3 linked regions of the Caenorhabditis elegans genome follow. The protein of the gene in region 1 interacts with the protein of each later gene in a pairwise test. Each region holds a gene or a part of one and is shown on either strand. Other genes may lie near its edges.

The links. The genes of interacting proteins can lie anywhere in the genome.
Region 2: the proteins of mrt-2 (region 1) and crt-1 interact in a two-hybrid assay, tested with the Caenorhabditis elegans proteins (2 studies listed by BioGRID).
Region 3: the proteins of mrt-2 (region 1) and ztf-8 interact in a two-hybrid assay, tested with the Caenorhabditis elegans proteins (2 studies listed by BioGRID).

The regions. Positions count from the first base shown.
Region 1 is NC_003281.10:11,745,031-11,750,709, forward strand, and holds mrt-2 (Cell cycle checkpoint protein RAD1 homolog mrt-2), read left to right. Parts: upstream 1-1,735; 5' UTR 1,736-1,932; intron 1,933-2,013; 5' UTR 2,014-2,018; coding exon 2,019-2,117; intron 2,118-2,188; coding exon 2,189-2,344; intron 2,345-2,403; coding exon 2,404-2,544; intron 2,545-2,592; coding exon 2,593-2,673; intron 2,674-3,855; coding exon 3,856-3,945; intron 3,946-4,091; coding exon 4,092-4,211; intron 4,212-4,829; coding exon 4,830-4,946; 3' UTR 4,947-5,145; downstream 5,146-5,679. UniProt on the Caenorhabditis elegans protein: May be a component of the 9-1-1 cell-cycle checkpoint response complex that plays a major role in DNA repair. Promotes DNA double strand break-induced cell cycle arrest and apoptosis, thereby playing a role in genome stability.
Region 2 is NC_003283.11:6,098,453-6,102,543, reverse strand, and holds crt-1 (Calreticulin), read left to right. Parts: upstream 1-2,001; 5' UTR 2,002-2,034; coding exon 2,035-2,355; intron 2,356-2,450; coding exon 2,451-3,074; intron 3,075-3,129; coding exon 3,130-3,372; 3' UTR 3,373-3,552; downstream 3,553-4,091. Other genes in the region: Y38A10A.11 (DNA-directed DNA polymerase), read left to right, coding at 57-148, 432-537, 581-640; smut-1 (Synthetic MUTator), read right to left, coding at 3,653-3,880, 3,963-4,091. UniProt on the Caenorhabditis elegans protein: Molecular calcium-binding chaperone promoting folding, oligomeric assembly and quality control in the endoplasmic reticulum (ER) via the calreticulin/calnexin cycle.
Region 3 is NC_003281.10:5,268,216-5,275,083, reverse strand, and holds ztf-8 (C2H2-type domain-containing protein), read left to right. Parts: upstream 1-1,612; 5' UTR 1,613-1,614; coding exon 1,615-1,694; intron 1,695-1,744; coding exon 1,745-1,844; intron 1,845-1,892; coding exon 1,893-2,179; intron 2,180-2,255; coding exon 2,256-2,563; intron 2,564-2,610; coding exon 2,611-2,693; intron 2,694-3,082; coding exon 3,083-3,283; intron 3,284-3,350; coding exon 3,351-3,494; intron 3,495-3,538; coding exon 3,539-3,613; intron 3,614-3,722; coding exon 3,723-4,039; intron 4,040-4,048; exon of another isoform or gene 4,049-4,072; coding exon of another isoform or gene 4,073-4,159; intron 4,160-4,210; coding exon of another isoform or gene 4,211-4,325; intron 4,326-4,368; coding exon of another isoform or gene 4,369-4,502; intron 4,503-4,649; coding exon of another isoform or gene 4,650-4,823; exon of another isoform or gene 4,824-4,845; intron 4,846-4,904; exon of another isoform or gene 4,905-4,958; intron 4,959-5,152; coding exon 5,153-5,317; intron 5,318-5,781; coding exon 5,782-6,085; 3' UTR 6,086-6,329; downstream 6,330-6,868. Other genes in the region: Co-chaperone protein daf-41, read left to right, coding at 328-446, 581-930, 1,037-1,095; ZC395.4 (uncharacterized protein), read right to left, coding at 4,073-4,159, 4,211-4,325, 4,369-4,502, 4,650-4,823; ZC395.5 (Ovule protein), read right to left, coding at 6,589-6,734.

The DNA.
Region 1 (5,679 bases):
CTGAACCTACTGTAGTTCACAATTTAAAGGCGCATACCAAAAAATTATAGCGGGAATTAAATTTTTATTTAATAATTTTTTCAGTTACAGAGCAATTAAAAAATTCAATTTCATCAAAATTTTATAGACCAATTTTCTCGCTTTATAGCTGAGCTCCGCGAGCCAAAATAGGAAGGGGAGCACGAAAAAAAAACAGAAAAATGAGCTCGACAGAGCCCATAGCCTCAAGCGCTAACGAACCAAAAAATGCACACACACACAGGAGGCGGAGTCGTGGAAATTTCGAAAAAAAAAACAAGATTTTCTTCTCTCTCGGCTCAAATTTGAATGCGGAGCAAGAATATTACGGGAACAAAAAATTCTGAGAATGCGTACTGCACAACATATTTGACGCGCAAAATATCTCGTTGCGAAAAGCAAACTACAGTGATTCTTTAAATGACATTTGTAGTGTCGATTTACGGGATCTCGATTTTCGAAATGAATTCATTTATCATTGATCGAGCCCGTAAATCGACACACGCACTACAGTAGTAATTTAAAGGGTTACTGTAGTTTTGTTTTCGCTACGAGATATTTTGTGCGTCAAATATGTTGCCCAATACGCATTCTCAGGATTTTTTGTTAGCGTAATAAAATAACAGAAAACACAGAAAAAGGCATGAAATTTAATTTGAAATACCGCGCTGAGTTTTCTAGGCCACGTGTCGTGTACTCCCCGTGGACAAGCGGTTTTTGCCTTATTTTTCTGAAGTACAAATTCTCAAGTACAAGTAAAAAAGTACAAATTTTACCAAATTTGAGGAAAAGAACTAGCATGACAAAAATAGAATTAGAAAAATTCTAGAGAAAAACTACGGATTTCTGGCTTCCCTCATAAAATGAAATGGAAGAGTTTGCCGAACTAGGCCATTTTGGCTCAGCCATATCTGGAGTAGATTTACGGCGCGTTCCGTGTCGCGGCTCGATTTTAGTTGTAAAACTAAATGAATTTGTCCGTGTGGAGTACACGACTTTACCACGCGTTGTCCGGCAGGCGATTGTCAATGGAGCGCGAAAAATTCAATGCACCAGATTTGACGCGCAAAATTTGAATTTTCAAGTTGTAAATCCCTTTTTTCTTCCCATTGTCCCATCAAATATCCTTCTTCAAAAAAACCCCTGCGTCTCTCAGGCCATATCTGCGGTAGATTTACGGCGCGTTGCGTGTCGCGTCGCGGCTCGATTTTAGTTGTCTGGCGGGCGATTATCAATGAAGCGCGAATAAATCAATGAGGAAGGCCAGAACCCCGTGAAGATCCAAGAAAAGTTTTCTAGGCCACGTTCCGTGTACTCCACGTGGAAAATGTCCTTTCCGGCAGGAGATTGTCAATGGAGCGCGAAAAATTCAATGCACCAGATTTGACCACGCGTCGTGTACTCCACGTGGAAAATGTGGACACTAGGGATCTACTAAATGCCTGGAAAATCGTAAAAATCTCGAAACTTCCTAAAGAAAAAAAAAGCAAATACACAAAAACGCATTGATGTATGAACAAATTGCCCTCCCCGTCTCCCACCAAAAACTCCCAAAAATTGCTCTTTTTTCATGTTTATATGGGGGACCGCGGGATTTCATAATAGCTCCGTGGTCCGCTCAGCTCATCCGGAGCCAAAAAGAGCACACACACACACGCACACATAAAAGTTGTAAACTAGTTTCGAGCAAAAATGATACGACGGATGAGTGTGTCACGCAATCAGTGAGCTTCTCTCGCTTTCGAAAGAAAAATCTTTTTCGCAAAAAGAAAAAGTACTTTACACTGGCCACAGTGTAAAATAAGGGTGAAAAGATCGAAAATCGGAGGTTTCAAATTTGAATTTCCGCGCAAATGAGAGGGACGAGGTGCGATGGCCTACAAAACTCCGCAGGTGTACTCCTCTCGGAAAACGGTGCGAGAATTAATTTTTTAATTTATATTTAATTTTCAGCGATTTTTCTCAGTTTTCCGGTTAAAATTTAAATTTTTTCAGGAAAAATGATGGAATTAGAAACGGGTCAATGCACAATTATGGAATTGAAAAAAGAAAATGTGAAGGAGCTCGCGCAGGTCTTCAAAACCGTCGCTTTTAAGGATGTTAGTGTTGGAAAATATCGATATTAATTTCATTTTTTTTGAGAAAAAATCTAAATTTTTCAATTTTCCAGACAGGAACGTGGCACGCTTCCGAGGCGGGCATGAAGATCACAGTCGACGATGGATCCTATCAGCTGGCCAGCGTTTTTATCAATCCGGCGTTCTTCTCGAGTTTTAAAGTTCGCGAGGAGATAGTTTCGATGAAAATCTCGATTAAATCGATTTCTGTGAGCCTTTAAAAGCCCATAAAAGCCCAAAAAAGTGGCAAAAAACAAAAAAATTCCAGGAATTCCTGAGCATTTCGGAAAACTCGTCGAGTTCTGTAAAAGTCTCGTATCCGGGAATGTTTCAGCCTGTGAAAATGCTTGTTGAAGACGCAGACGGATGGGTGGCACGTGGCAATTTTACAACAACGCTGGCAGATCAAGTTCGCCGGGTTTTCGAAATTCCTAGATTTTTTTTTGTCTATTTTTAGGAGCTCGACTTTGAATTCGATGACGCTGGTGTGCTGGCGACCTATCTGCTTAAAACTCAAGTTCTCAAGGAGATTATCAAGGTTTTATCATTGAAACCTTTAAACATTCGAAAAAAATTTATTAAACTCCAGACATTTTCCAAAAAAAATTTTTTTTTTTGGATTTTCGAAAAAAATGTTTTTTTTTTGAAATTAAATAAAAAACTTTTTTTTTTACTTTTTTAGTGAAAAAACAAAAAAAATCGGTTTCCCTTCAGAAAAATCGGTGTTTTTCGGTTTTTTTCATATTTTAAAACATTTTCTGAATTTTTTTTTTGACTTTTTGGAAAAAAATTTTTTTTTGGATTTTTTCAAAATGAAATAAAAAACTACTCGAATGTCGCAAAAACAAAAAAATTTCTTTTTGTTCTGACAGATTAACATTTTTTGGTTTTTTTCGACTCCAAAAAAAAATTTCTGAAAAAATTAGCTTTTTTGAAAAAAAAACCATTTTTTTTTAAATTTTTTAGTCGAAAAACGAAAAAAAAAATCGGTTTCCCTTCAGAAAATTATTGTTTTTGGGTTTTTTCCCACATTTTAAAACATTTTCTGAAAAAAAACTTTTTTTCGACTTTTTTGAAAAAAAATTTTTCGGTTTTTCCGATTTTCTAATTTTTCAACAAAAAAAGACGAAAAAAACCAGAAAATTCCGAATTTTAGAGCCAAAAACGAACATTTTCCGTTTTTCAATTTTGAAAAAAAAAACGTTTTATTTTTATTTTTCGATACTTTTTTGTCGAAAAACGAAAAAAAATGTTTTCCGTTCAGAAAAATCGGTGTTTTTTGGTCTGTTTTTCATATTTTAAAACATTTTCTGAAAAAAATTTTTTTTTCGAATTTTTCATTACTTTTCAAAAAAAAAATCCGTTTTTGATTGAAAAAACCTTGATATTTTTCCGATTTTCTAATTTTTCAAAATTAAAAAAAACCAAAAAAAAAATCCGAAAATTCCGACTTTTTGAGCTAAAAACGAAAATTTTCCGTTTTCAATTTTGGAAAAAAAATTTTACTTGAAAATTCGATTTTCGCTTAAAAAGTAGTTTTTATTGTTTCAATTTTTCGAAAATAAAAAAAAATCGATTAAATTGCAGAATTTCCAACCCAAACCCAAAAAAATCGACGTCCAATACTTATGATTTGACGCGCAAATTCTAAAATTCAAATAAAAATTCTTATTTTTGCATTAAAAAAATACGAATTTTTAATTTTTTTTCTCTATTTCAGGACTTCGATGACACAAGCCGAACGGTGAGAATTCAATTCACCAAGAATTCACTGTGTTTCACGACTTTCGGTGATGTTGGCGAGACTACAGTAGGATTTTTCAAATTGAAAATTAAATAAATTTTAGGAAATTAAAAAGAAAAAAATTTTAATTTTTTAACTCAAAAAAAAAAAAAAAAAATTGTTTTGAAAAAATATTTTTTAAAAAATTAAAACCAAATTTTTTATACTTTCAGGTATCAATACCGTCTCGAAGCCTTCAAATGGAAAGTGTAAAGTGCCTTGAAGAAGTTGAATTTAGCTATCTTCTGTCGCTTATTCAACGAATGACTACCGCCTTTATACTGGCTACAAAGGTAGTTTCTGGAAAGAAATTTAGCCTATCTGCTAGATTTTTCCTAGTTAAAGTTATCATGGTTCCAGGAAAAATTCATTAAAAATATGAAAAAATTGGGGGAAAAAAAAAATTTTTTTCGAAATTTTTTGAAAAAAATCTGAAAAAATTTGTGAAAATTATTTTCACTATAATTTTTAATTTAAAAAATTGAGCCGATTTTTTTAGAAAAATAAATTTATTTGTGAAAAAATTAATTTTCCTTTCGAAAAATATTTCGATTTTTGAAAATTTTTTTAAATTTGAAAAAAAAAATTTTCATTTTTTTTTCAAAAACAGAAAAAAATTTCGAAAAAAATAAATAAAATGTCTAAAGCATTTTTAACGATTTTTCCAATTTTGCAACAAAAAATATCAACATTTTTCCGTTTTTTTCCCCGAAAAAAAACCCCAAAAACTCCAAAATTGGCCAAAAAAATCGAAAAATAAATTAAAACGTTATGCTCCAAATCAAATTTTAGTTTCAAAAATCGAGAAAAAATTAGAAAAAATGTTTTTCTTCGAAATTTTTTTTTCAATTTTCTAAAAAAAAATGTCTCGAATTTTTTGATGCAAACTTTACAATTTAAGTTTTTTCCAGCTCATCCTCCGTGTCGACGAGCGTGGCGTCCTCTCCTGTCAATTTTCAATCGATCACGGCGAGGGAAACGCAAGCTACATTGAATTTCTGACGGTGCCCGCTGATGAAGAAGAATAAAATATTATATACATTTTTAATTTTTTTTTAATGTTCGATCCCCGAGTTTTGCAACAAGTGTACCCTCATCTCCCGGGTATAAAAACCCGAAAAACTGCACCGAAACGCACGCAAAAAAAATTAATATTTTCTTCTTTTTCGTGCTTCTTGCAATTCTCGCTGTTGATTTAAATTTTCAAATAAATATTGATTTTTATTACGAATATTGCATTTTGAAATGAGAAAAATTTTTAAAAATTGGGTTTTTTTTCAGTGAGTGTCTCGTCGAATAAAATGCTCGGTACGTAGTACACCGTCACGTCAAAATACACAGAATCGTGGATTTTTTTCAAAAAAAAAACAAGGATTTCTGGCTTCCCTCATAAATTGAAATGGAAGAGTTTTTGCCGAACTAAGCCATTTTGGCTCAGCCATATCTGGGGTAGATTTACGGCGCGTTGCGTGTCGCGTCGCGGCTCGATAGTAAAACTAAATGTATTTATCCGTGTGGAGTACACGACACTTTCCCATGCGTTGCCCGTCGGGCGATTGTCAATGGAGCGCAAAAAATGCAATGAGGAAGGCCAGAACCCCCTGAAAAATCGATGTGTTTTTAGGATTTCTTCAAATTCTAATTAATTTTTAGAGTTTTTTGCCGGCAATATTATGTGGAAAATGAATGCAAAACTTCTTGTAGCCCTAAAAATCCCCAAGTTTGTGTATTTTTAAAGAAAATTAAAGTCTCCTGCCGAAA
Region 2 (4,091 bases), on another chromosome or scaffold:
GGGAGATCAAAATCGAAACTGTATTTGTGTGGAACAATGCAACTATTGAGAGAAACATGAAGCATATGGACTACGAGTTGAGTAGGCTTCAAAAGTATTCAGGAATCTCAACCAACGAGTTTTGCCCAGAAATTACCAAGAAACCAGTGTAAGTTTCATTTTATTTTTTGGATTTAGTTAGATTTTTTAAATAATCAAAAACCGATTTCTTGCCGATGTCATACTGTAGACACTGTGAGAAGTAGGACTACCTCAATATTGATAAGTGCCTACCTATGTGCCTAGAAGGCAGGTGTGGCTTGCATTGAACTTAACAGTAGACGTAGGTCTCTTGAAGTTTTGCTTCCAGGCAGGCAGGTAGGCATTTGAATAATTTAAAGCTATAGTAAGGAGTACGGTAAATTACAATATCATTTCGTGATAAATTTCAGGCAAGATCGAAATCATTTTGCAATGCTCTACACCTTTCCTTATATTACGTCAACTTGTGATCGTGTCAGACTTTTTGTTCGAAATGCAGTTTCCTGGAGTTCAGAGGTCTAAAAATATTCCTGAAAAAATTATAATTCTAGATGTTCAGGTGAACCGAGCCCGAGTAGCATGCGAATGTGAAAAAATTGTGGAAATGACGCGTGGCTAACGAGGTACTTCTCGTCGCCGATCTTTCTCTTGACCAGGACCGAATAAATATTTGAAAATGCACTTATTGTTTGTTCTCAATGCCGAATTGTTTACAATGTACCTTTTGGTAAAGAGGAACTCGTTTGTACTGGCCAGCTAATAAAATATTCACATTATTCTTCATACTATGTTTTCATATAGAATTTATCAATTTTATAATTTAGATGATAACGAGTGCTGTACTCCTGGAGTCCACCAGGACTTGATAAGAGAATTGAAGCACCACTTTTATAATGAGCAGTACTAATTTCGAATCTGGAAATGATATTTCAGAAACAATCCAGGAAACACCAGAAAAATATCACCACTTTGAAAAATATGTGCATTTATTCAATTATGCTCAAATTTCAGCTTTGGCTCACGAGTGATACGGTCAACCACAATTTTCTCCAGAGTACGCAATTTACGCAAACACCAAACGATGGCGCCAAAGCGCCATTCAAATTTTATTCATCCGTTTCAGCCTTTTTCAGTCTTCTTGTCTCTCATTTTCGCCATTTTCATTGTTTTATTTACACAAACGGTCGTTTAAAATGTAGTTTCCATCTTTTTCCGATGGTTCATCATTTTTGTCATGCGTCTTTTGTGAAACTGGTTTTGCAAAACGAAGCAAAAAATGGATAACTGTGTCAAGGGCGATTTTTCGATTCGTCATGTCCACATAAACGCGATAATGTGTTTTTATCGTTGGTTTCATTCAGAAATTGGTTGATAAATACATTCTACTACATTCTGGCTGTGTGATCCAATTTTTAAATCCGAAAGTCTAGAAATTTAGTGCAAAATAAGCATGGAAAGTTCTAAACCCCTTAAAGAATACTGATCTCAGCTGTTTCTGTTCTTTTCAATCAGATTCCCAATTGCGATAATATCAAAAAGCCCTCTGCTGGACTGCTGTCCACCCGCAAGGGCATTATTTCCTTATCCCAAAATGCTCTCCGTCTGCATCTCTTCAACTCACTCACTCTCTCGCTCTCTTCGCAGTGCGAGGCCGACACGCAACGTGGCCTCTCATCAGACACGCTCCGCCTATTCTCAATGTGTGGCGACCGCCGATTGGCCAGTCGCTGACGTGGACCAATAGATACGCGGCACCTCGAGCCGTGTCAGCCACGCAAGACACACGTCGACTTACTCCATTGTCGTAGCAGACGAGCTCAGTTCAACATCATCAGTTTCAGTTTTGCTCTTGTTCGGTTTCATTTCTAGTCTTTCTTCTCTGAAATTCTCGAATTTTATTCTTTGGTATATTCTCATTCAATTTATCTCTTCTTTTTCCGATTCATATGTTTAATTGTTATATTTACTTTTTAATTTCAGATTCAACTTGGTGTCGTTTTATCGAAAAACGAAATGAAATCACTCTGCCTGTTAGCAATCGTTGCCGTCGTTTCGGCTGAAGTCTACTTCAAAGAGGAGTTCAACGACGCCTCATGGGAGAAGCGATGGGTTCAATCCAAGCACAAGGATGACTTTGGAGCCTTCAAGCTCTCAGCTGGAAAGTTCTTCGATGTTGAGTCCCGCGACCAAGGAATCCAGACCAGCCAAGATGCCAAGTTCTACTCCCGTGCCGCCAAGTTCGACAAGGACTTCTCCAACAAAGGAAAGACTCTTGTGATCCAATACACCGTCAAGCACGAGCAAGGAATCGACTGTGGAGGTGGATACGTTAAGGTTAGTATTTTAAATTTCTTGATGTGATAATTTTTTCGCATTAGTTTGTTAGTATCAAAACATGTTTCTCAATTAAAACAATATTTATTTTCCAGGTCATGAGAGCTGATGCTGACTTGGGAGATTTCCACGGAGAGACCCCATACAACGTCATGTTCGGCCCAGACATCTGCGGACCAACTCGCCGTGTCCACGTTATCCTTAACTACAAGGGAGAGAACAAGCTCATCAAGAAGGAAATCACCTGCAAGAGCGACGAACTCACTCATCTCTACACTCTCATCCTCAACTCCGACAATACCTACGAAGTCAAGATCGACGGAGAAAGCGCCCAAACTGGAAGCCTCGAGGAGGACTGGGATCTTCTTCCAGCCAAGAAGATCAAGGATCCAGATGCAAAGAAGCCAGAGGACTGGGATGAGCGTGAGTACATCGATGATGCCGAGGATGCCAAGCCAGAAGATTGGGAGAAGCCAGAGCACATCCCAGATCCAGATGCCAAGAAGCCAGAAGACTGGGATGACGAGATGGACGGAGAATGGGAGCCACCAATGATCGACAACCCAGAATACAAGGGTGAGTGGAAGCCAAAGCAGATCAAGAACCCAGCCTACAAGGGCAAGTGGATCCATCCAGAGATTGAGAACCCAGAGTACACTCCTGATGATGAACTCTACTCTTATGAAAGCTGGGGAGCCATCGGATTCGATTTGTGGCAGGTAAGAAACTTTTATTCTATTTTTCAAAAATGAAACTCAAACTTTATTTTTTCAGGTCAAGTCAGGAACGATCTTTGACAACATTATCATCACCGACTCTGTTGAGGAGGCCGAGGCCCATGCTGCCGAGACTTTTGACAAATTGAAGACTGTTGAGAAGGAAAAGAAGGAGAAGGCCGACGAAGAAACCCGCAAGGCTGAGGAGGAGGCTCGCAAGAAGGCCGAGGAGGAGAAGGAGGCCAAGAAGGATGATGATGAGGAGGAGAAGGAAGAGGAGGAAGGACACGATGAGCTCTAAGCAAATCGTGCACAGCTTTTCAACTCGCTTCATACAATCGCCCCCACTCCATCACAATTCCCCCGCATTCAAGTCTCTCCTATTCTCTCGGGTTAATTGATTGTTTTATTAATTTATTGAGCATCCATTTTGATGCTGGATAGCCTTTCTTGTTTTATAATAAAAAAATTTTAAAACCTATTTACGAGTTCGATTAGTTCAATGAATATAAAATACAGGATCAGATACATAGAAAAGCGATAAAAACCGGCACAAAATAGGAAATTGATATGTGATTCAATTAAAGTGATTGACGCAACTTCAGCCATTCTACAAGCCAATTGGGAAGCGTTTCCTCGCATTCGAGCATAAAAGAACACAGCTGCTCGATAATATTCGACATTGGTCCGCCAAATAAATGATGCTCATCGATGAGGACAGTAGCTCTTCCACCACATCCATCGCGACCAACTCGTCCGATTCTATGCATGTAGCTCGGAAAATCGGTGGACATTTCCATGATTATTGTCTGAAATATGTGACTTAAGATAAAAAATATTTGGGTCAATAGTAGCCATGTTTTTATCAATTTAATATATATGTAAACTTACCTGTTTCACAGAAGACACATCGATTCCTCTCGACATAATATTGGTACATACAACTCCATGAATGTTGCAAAACTCCAAATCATTCAAAGTGATTGCTTGTTGTTGTTTCAACACACTACTGCATACAGG
Region 3 (6,868 bases), 6.5 Mb from region 1:
TTCGCGACTTTATATTTCTAATCCATTTACGTTTATATTCAATGCCATTCGCACTTAAAATATATCGATTTTGGCCAATAGTCCTTGTATTTAGGAGAAAAAGGTTGTAAGAGAAAAATCAATCGAAAAAAGAAATTAAGTGGACAATTCTTGCTTGTTATTGCCGTGATATGAAAACATTTTCATCTGATGGCTTTATTTTCGTCAATTTGCATAATCATGCTAATTTCAACTGTGCGCTTATTTATATGTCGTGCACCTTCCTTGAATTTTATTGATTATTGTTCGTATCCGTCTAGTTCTCTTTTCGAATTACAGGCAAAAACCATGGCTAAGCAACCAACAGTTCTCTGGGCCCAGCGTGAATCACTTGTCTATCTGACCATCGAGGTTGATGAGGCGAAAATCGAGGAACTGAAAGGAGAGGGAAACAAGCTTCACTTCCAGTACGTTTCGGATTAATATTTCGATTTCTATTTTAAATGTTTAAATACGATATGAAGCATATTTCTTGCTTCCTAAATATTCACAGAATGTTCATGATGGTACATAGAATGAGTCGTAATTCGTAAATTTTCAGAGGAAGCAGCAAAACTGACAAGTACGAAGCAACTCTCGAATTCTTCGACGAAATCGATCCTGCATCCGTAAAGCACACTGGATCTTCAACCCGCGTCGTTGAGATCACAGTTCAGAAGAAGACCCCAGCCTGGTGGCCAAGACTTCTTCAAAACAAGGGAAAGGTCCATTGGTTGAAGGTTGACTTTGGAAAATGGAAGGATGAAGACGAGGATGATGAGGCTGAGGATGCCGGAGCCGGAATTGGCGGTGGAATGGCGAACGGATTCGATTTGAACCAGTACATGTCCCAGATGGGAGGAGCTGGCGGAGCAGACTTCGGAGGTCTTGAGGATGATGAGGAAGATGACGGTAAGTATTAAGTGCAATAATATCCTTTTTGCTTACTATTAGTAATTCGTTAATGATAGAAAACCAATGTAGTATTAAAATGTTATTTATTATAAAAAATTTTCAGATATGCCAGATCTCGAAGACAACGAAGAGGAGGAAGGAAAGAACGGAACGAGAGCTTAAGCAACTCCTCAAGTCCCAATTGTTTCATTAAAAATACAATTTGAATTTCTCTAATTTAATTCTTTATTCATTTTTCTCTATCCCGATTATTCCTCTTCCAGTTTGTGAACGCTTCACGTATCTCAGTCACAGAGTTTCATTTATTGTTTCCACTTTAAATATTTATTGAGTAAAGTGATATCACACCCATCTTCTTGCAGTGAACTTGTGAATTCTGACGGCTTAATTTTTATCCCGCATTCGTTTTTCTAATCAGTTTCCATGGGCAAGAACACAATTGGTAAGGCTCTGGTAATACTTTTCTAAAGTTGTTACTTTTTTTAAAATGTGAGCATACAAGGTATTTAATTTTGTCTTCTTTGTGGATCCACATGGAGAAAAAACTCCTGAAGACATAAATTTTACTCATTCAAGCTGGATAATATCATTCAAATCATATCATTCAAGTTAATACGCTTTTTCCGATCAATCATCTGAATCACAGCCAGAGATTAAATTATGAAATCGTATTTTTAAGATATGAACCAATTAGTGTGTCCATTGTGCTGCGAAACGCTGAAAGAGGAAGGCGCACACTTCTACAAACATTTTAAGTACAAGTGAGGATTTTAAATGTTATTTCTATTATTAAATTCATATATAATTTTAGGAGATATGCATGCGGAGAGAGCACATGTGATATGGGATTCTACACACAACAGGAGCTCAATGCTCATTGCTCGAAACACGGACACAAGCGCTCTTTTCAGGTTTTGAGACGATTTTCTACAATTAAAAATATTGTTTTTTTTCTTCAGAAGACAGTAAACCCATACATTGACAAAATGATATCGGTTGTTGTGGAAGACGCATACGCCCTAGCGACTGACGATATGGAAACTGTGCTTGAGAAGCGATGGGGAAGAGATCCGAGATCAGTGTCACCGACTTCACCTGTTAAAAAGACTCCTACTGATAGTGCAAAGAATAAAAGAAGTTCCGTCGTAACTCCAACATCTCCTCCAGTGCCAAAAAAGGCAAAATCGGGAACTTCTACGACTTCACCATTTGCATTTTTAAATAGAAGAACAAATAATTCTGAGAGGTATTTATTCACTAAATACAATTTTAACAATGCCTAGATTCCGACAAAGCCCTCGTTTTAAAAATGATATATTCAGCTCACTCTGCCCCAACGCCTCCTCAACATCAGCTCAGCCAGCTTCATCAAGTTCAGCTCAAGCTATAGTTGATTCAACAACCAGTGAACATAATATATCTATTGATAAAACAAAGAAACCGAGGAAGAAAAGAAACGAGTCAATGACAGCAGCTCAAAATCAAGAGAAAGCTGGAAAAAATGCAAATTACGATGAAATGTCAGCGATTGATAAACTAATTGGATGGTTTGATCCAAATGTTCCAGAGAGACGAGATGCTGCAAAAGTGAAATGTGCGGTTTGTAATGAAGAAATAGTTTATGATTTTAGTGAGTTTTTGAAATCTCTAAATTCGAATTTAGTTTTTATCTTACAGTTCTCCGAAAAGGACACGTGACTCGTTCCCACATGGCAGCTGATGTAGCACCAGAAGATTATGATGATTTGCTGAAAACTGCGGTATGTACAGGAAAACAAATTAAATTGAGAACAAGGCTGTGCAGCAAATCTACAAAAACAAATTTAAAAAAGGAATATGATATTTCATTTTGAGGCAAATCTGAATTCGAGAAGGAAAAAAAAAGAATTATTCTTATTTTTTTCGAAACAAAAAACGAAAAATCTACAGCCCTGACGGTGACTTTCCTGCACTTTTTGAGATAATTTTCGAGTTTTTTTCTCAAAAATAAATATCATATTCAGATCGAATGAACATTTCCCCCACACTGTTATATTAATTTTTAATTTGAATTAATTGATTATCATACTGAAATTATAAGTTTTGACCCTGTATCTACATTTATCCTAACTAGGTTGCAGTTTTTAAATTAAGAAAAAATGAGTTTCAGATGGATCGATCGTATCCAGATCTCCCAAATTCGGATCTTGCTTGTCAACTTTGCATGACTGGTGCTGAAGTTCGAAAAAATATGCGCCGAGAGCATATCGAGAAGCTGCACACGACGAGTCTTCCACCGCTAACATGTCCAGTTGGAGAATGTGAAAAAGGATTCAGAAGACAGTGTGATTTGAGTTCTCATATGAAAGATGTATAGTTTTATTTATTTAATTTATAATAAAGCTAGGAAATTGACAAAAAAAATCAAAGAATTCCAGACACACAAAGCGAGCATGGCAGTGTACAAAAATGCAACATTTCAACAAGTTCGTCGCCGTCGAAATGCTATGATAAACGAGATGATCAATAAATGCTTTCCGTGGTCTCGATTAGAAGCAATTGAGAATAAGACTGTAGTTGGGGTTTGTTGAATTATTAAAGTTTTCTGGGTAATTATGAGATTCAGGAGAAGTCGGATTCTGTTAACCGCGCTCCTGTCGATCGCTCGTTTGACACAGATGTTCGAGTGAGAGACGTTAACGTAAGTTTTTAGAAAAATTATCTACGGGAGTCATCACGACCAAGAGTGACATCCAAATTTTTTTTTAATTGAAATTTAATTTTTCAATTCTTACAAAACACATTTTCAGAAAACTCGCCGTGCTCCTCAATACAATGCGAACCGATCTTCGTCGTCCGATTCTGATTCAGAACATGAAGAAGCAGCGTCGGTGGCTACGGGAGAAGTTTCCGAAACTGGTGGAACCGATGATTTCCCGCAAGACGTCATATACATATGTCATCAATTCAATACGGAAGTTGCTCAAAAACTGTCGCAGATCGTCAGAATAAAGCCAGAGATCATTGATGTGGAAGACGTGCTTATGAATGATGTTACAATGGAAATAAATGAGATTCCAGTTAAAGAAGAAACAGAGGAAGAGCAACCGAAAGAGGAAAATAACAGGTAAAAATTGCATAGATTAAGCTTTATTCGTTTTTAAGTAGTTTTCTCGCTGCTTCCTGCAATCTTCTTTTCATCAACAGACAATTGTTGCGTTATCTCAAGTTTTCGAGTTTCCGTAGCCTGGGAAAATAAGAAAATATTTAGATTAGTCTAAAAATAAATACTCCTCACCTCTTTAGAGTTGCCCTTCAGTATTGCTTTCTCGAATTTCGGAAAATCGTCATCCAGCGTCACATACTCGGGATCTTTGCTTTCCTTCATTCCGGTCACAGTGCGTTTCGCGTCACTGTAATGAGAATGATTGGGAAATTAGTTATTATTGTGCTTACAGTTTTCTTGGTGGAGCTACAGATGGTCCATGTGACATTTCTGAAGCTTTTTCGGCAATCTTCTTGAGTTGAGACACCGCCTCGTTGTGTTCATCCTTTGCATCACGATCACTTTGCCTTGGTCCCTTGCTCTTCTGAAAAAAGTCATTTTCCAATAATAAATGCCTGAAAACTCTTGAGAATTGGCGAAACTAACTGAATTTTTTTTTAAATTTACGGTTTCGCCGCCAAACACCACTTTTATCTGCGCCCTTCTAATAATATTTCCATCCCTCTCTTACCTCCTTGGACGGAACTTTTGCCATTTTGCTTGCTCCCTTCTCTCCCGATTGAGCTGTTGTCGAATGTGAAATTGACTTCATTTCGGGATTAACACTTCCACCAGTACCAGGAGTCGATAGATTCTTCTTCGCCGATTTCATTTTCTTCTTCTGCTTACACTTTGTGACACACATTTTTGAACTACTACACACGTGCCTGGAAGTGTGCGGAAATTGTTCTTCAACGGAAACGATAGACGAAAAAAATAAACTCACTATTACAGTTCGATTTATTGAAAAATGATAATCGAACAGATGAGTGAAATGATTAAAAATAAGAACTGATGAAATTGAACCTTTTTGAATATTTCGTTTTGATGTTTTTTTCTTACGTAAATAGTTTAGATTAATATTTTTCTCCCGTAAGGTTACATATTAATTCCTTTTGAAAGTTTTTTGAAATTTTTTGAAAATTGCCCGTTTTTGGAAAGATTCAGTACTCCATATTATTTTATTATTTTCAGTACTCTACCATCAATTCCAATTCCATCAATCTTCTCACCATATGAGCCAATTGTTCCACCACCAGCTACATCTCCAGATCCAATGAATCCGCCAATTGCATCACTGCTTCCAACTCGAATTCTCAGTGCGACAAACGTTTTGGAGAATAAATATAATGAAAATGTGTGAGTTTTTACGAAATATCTGAAAATTAAAAAAAAACAACTTTTGATGTTTCCTATCAATTTTGCAAAATTAAAAAAAGATGGGCTAATTATTTTCAAATTCTCGCGTTAATGAATTGCCTAGTTTAACGTTTTCAGCTCGTTTTCCGCGAAAAAATTATTTATAACGGTGAAACTGTTTTTAAGTCAGTTTTGAAGTTTTAGTGAATTTATTTTGGCCTAAAAATTGAAAAACTCATCTTCATATTAAATATTTTTTATACTGAAAAACATTTGTTCAGCCAGGGAATTTAAAAATAATTAGCCCATCTTTAATTTAATTTAATTTTCATTTATATTTATTACGATAGTAAGATATGGAAAAAAAATCATTAAAAAATTATAAACGTTTTAATTTTTAAGCAGTTAAATTCAAAATCAGATCAGTTTTAACCATCATTACAATATATAATTTCTAATTTCAGTAGCTCAAGAAGATCGACATCACGTGAACGTTCTTCCAACAGAAACTACGATGAAAGATGGTCTCGAAATGACTACAGTAACCCTCGTAACTACAGCAATCGTTCATTCCATCAACGAAACCAACGGGGACATTCATCATCGAATCGTTTCAATTCTCCATTTGTTAGTCGAAATAACTACAACAACAATTCTGAAACAACTGAAGGATCTTCTCGTCGTTCCGAATATAATTCTTCGTCTTCCAATCATCATTCCCGTTCGTCATATCGTGGCAATCGAGATGATCGAGGCTCTCGATGGTAAAGCCGCCATCAATATTATATATGCATTTTCCTTCTAAAACCGTTCAATCTTCAAATATTTCCCTTAACCTTCCAGTATTCCAAATCAGCTTGTGCGAAATTTTAAGAAAATTTCTCGAAAAATCTAAATCTCCTTCGCTTTCAAACATCAAATTTAGTTTCTGTGTGTTAGTATATCCTAGCGTTTCATATCTAAGATAACAATTCTCAATTATCTCTTTTTAGTTAGCAATAAAATAATGCCATTGTTGTTTGACTTTAATTGTTGAATCTCTCGTTCTGTTTAAACGAATATTCCATGTGTGTTGTGTTTTATAATATTTTATTGCTTCTATCGTTCTCCAAAGTCTCGATTCAAAAATCCATGTTTCTAAATACGGAAGTGAAACTAAAACTGTTAAATCTAAAATTTTCGAATCAATATAAGTACATTTATTTACAGAAACAAAAAATTACAATTTCAACATATAAAATTACAAAAATCAACAAGAAAACGATATAATTTTAATACATTTCTTTTTCAAATGGATCATCAATCTTGACACTAAAATCCATTGATCGGTTCAAAAAATCGCGGAATTGTTCGATTAAACTGTCACGGCGACGACTTCCGATAGATTCCATGTGACAATCCATTGATGTATCAGATGCTGAAAATTTTTATAATATCAATAACTTTAGAGGGGAAAATTACCTGAAATATATTACCGAGACGCAAAACCTTACGATTTTTACACCAAACTAAGGCGTCCGGTCTCGAAACGACAAACATTTGTTCAATTCG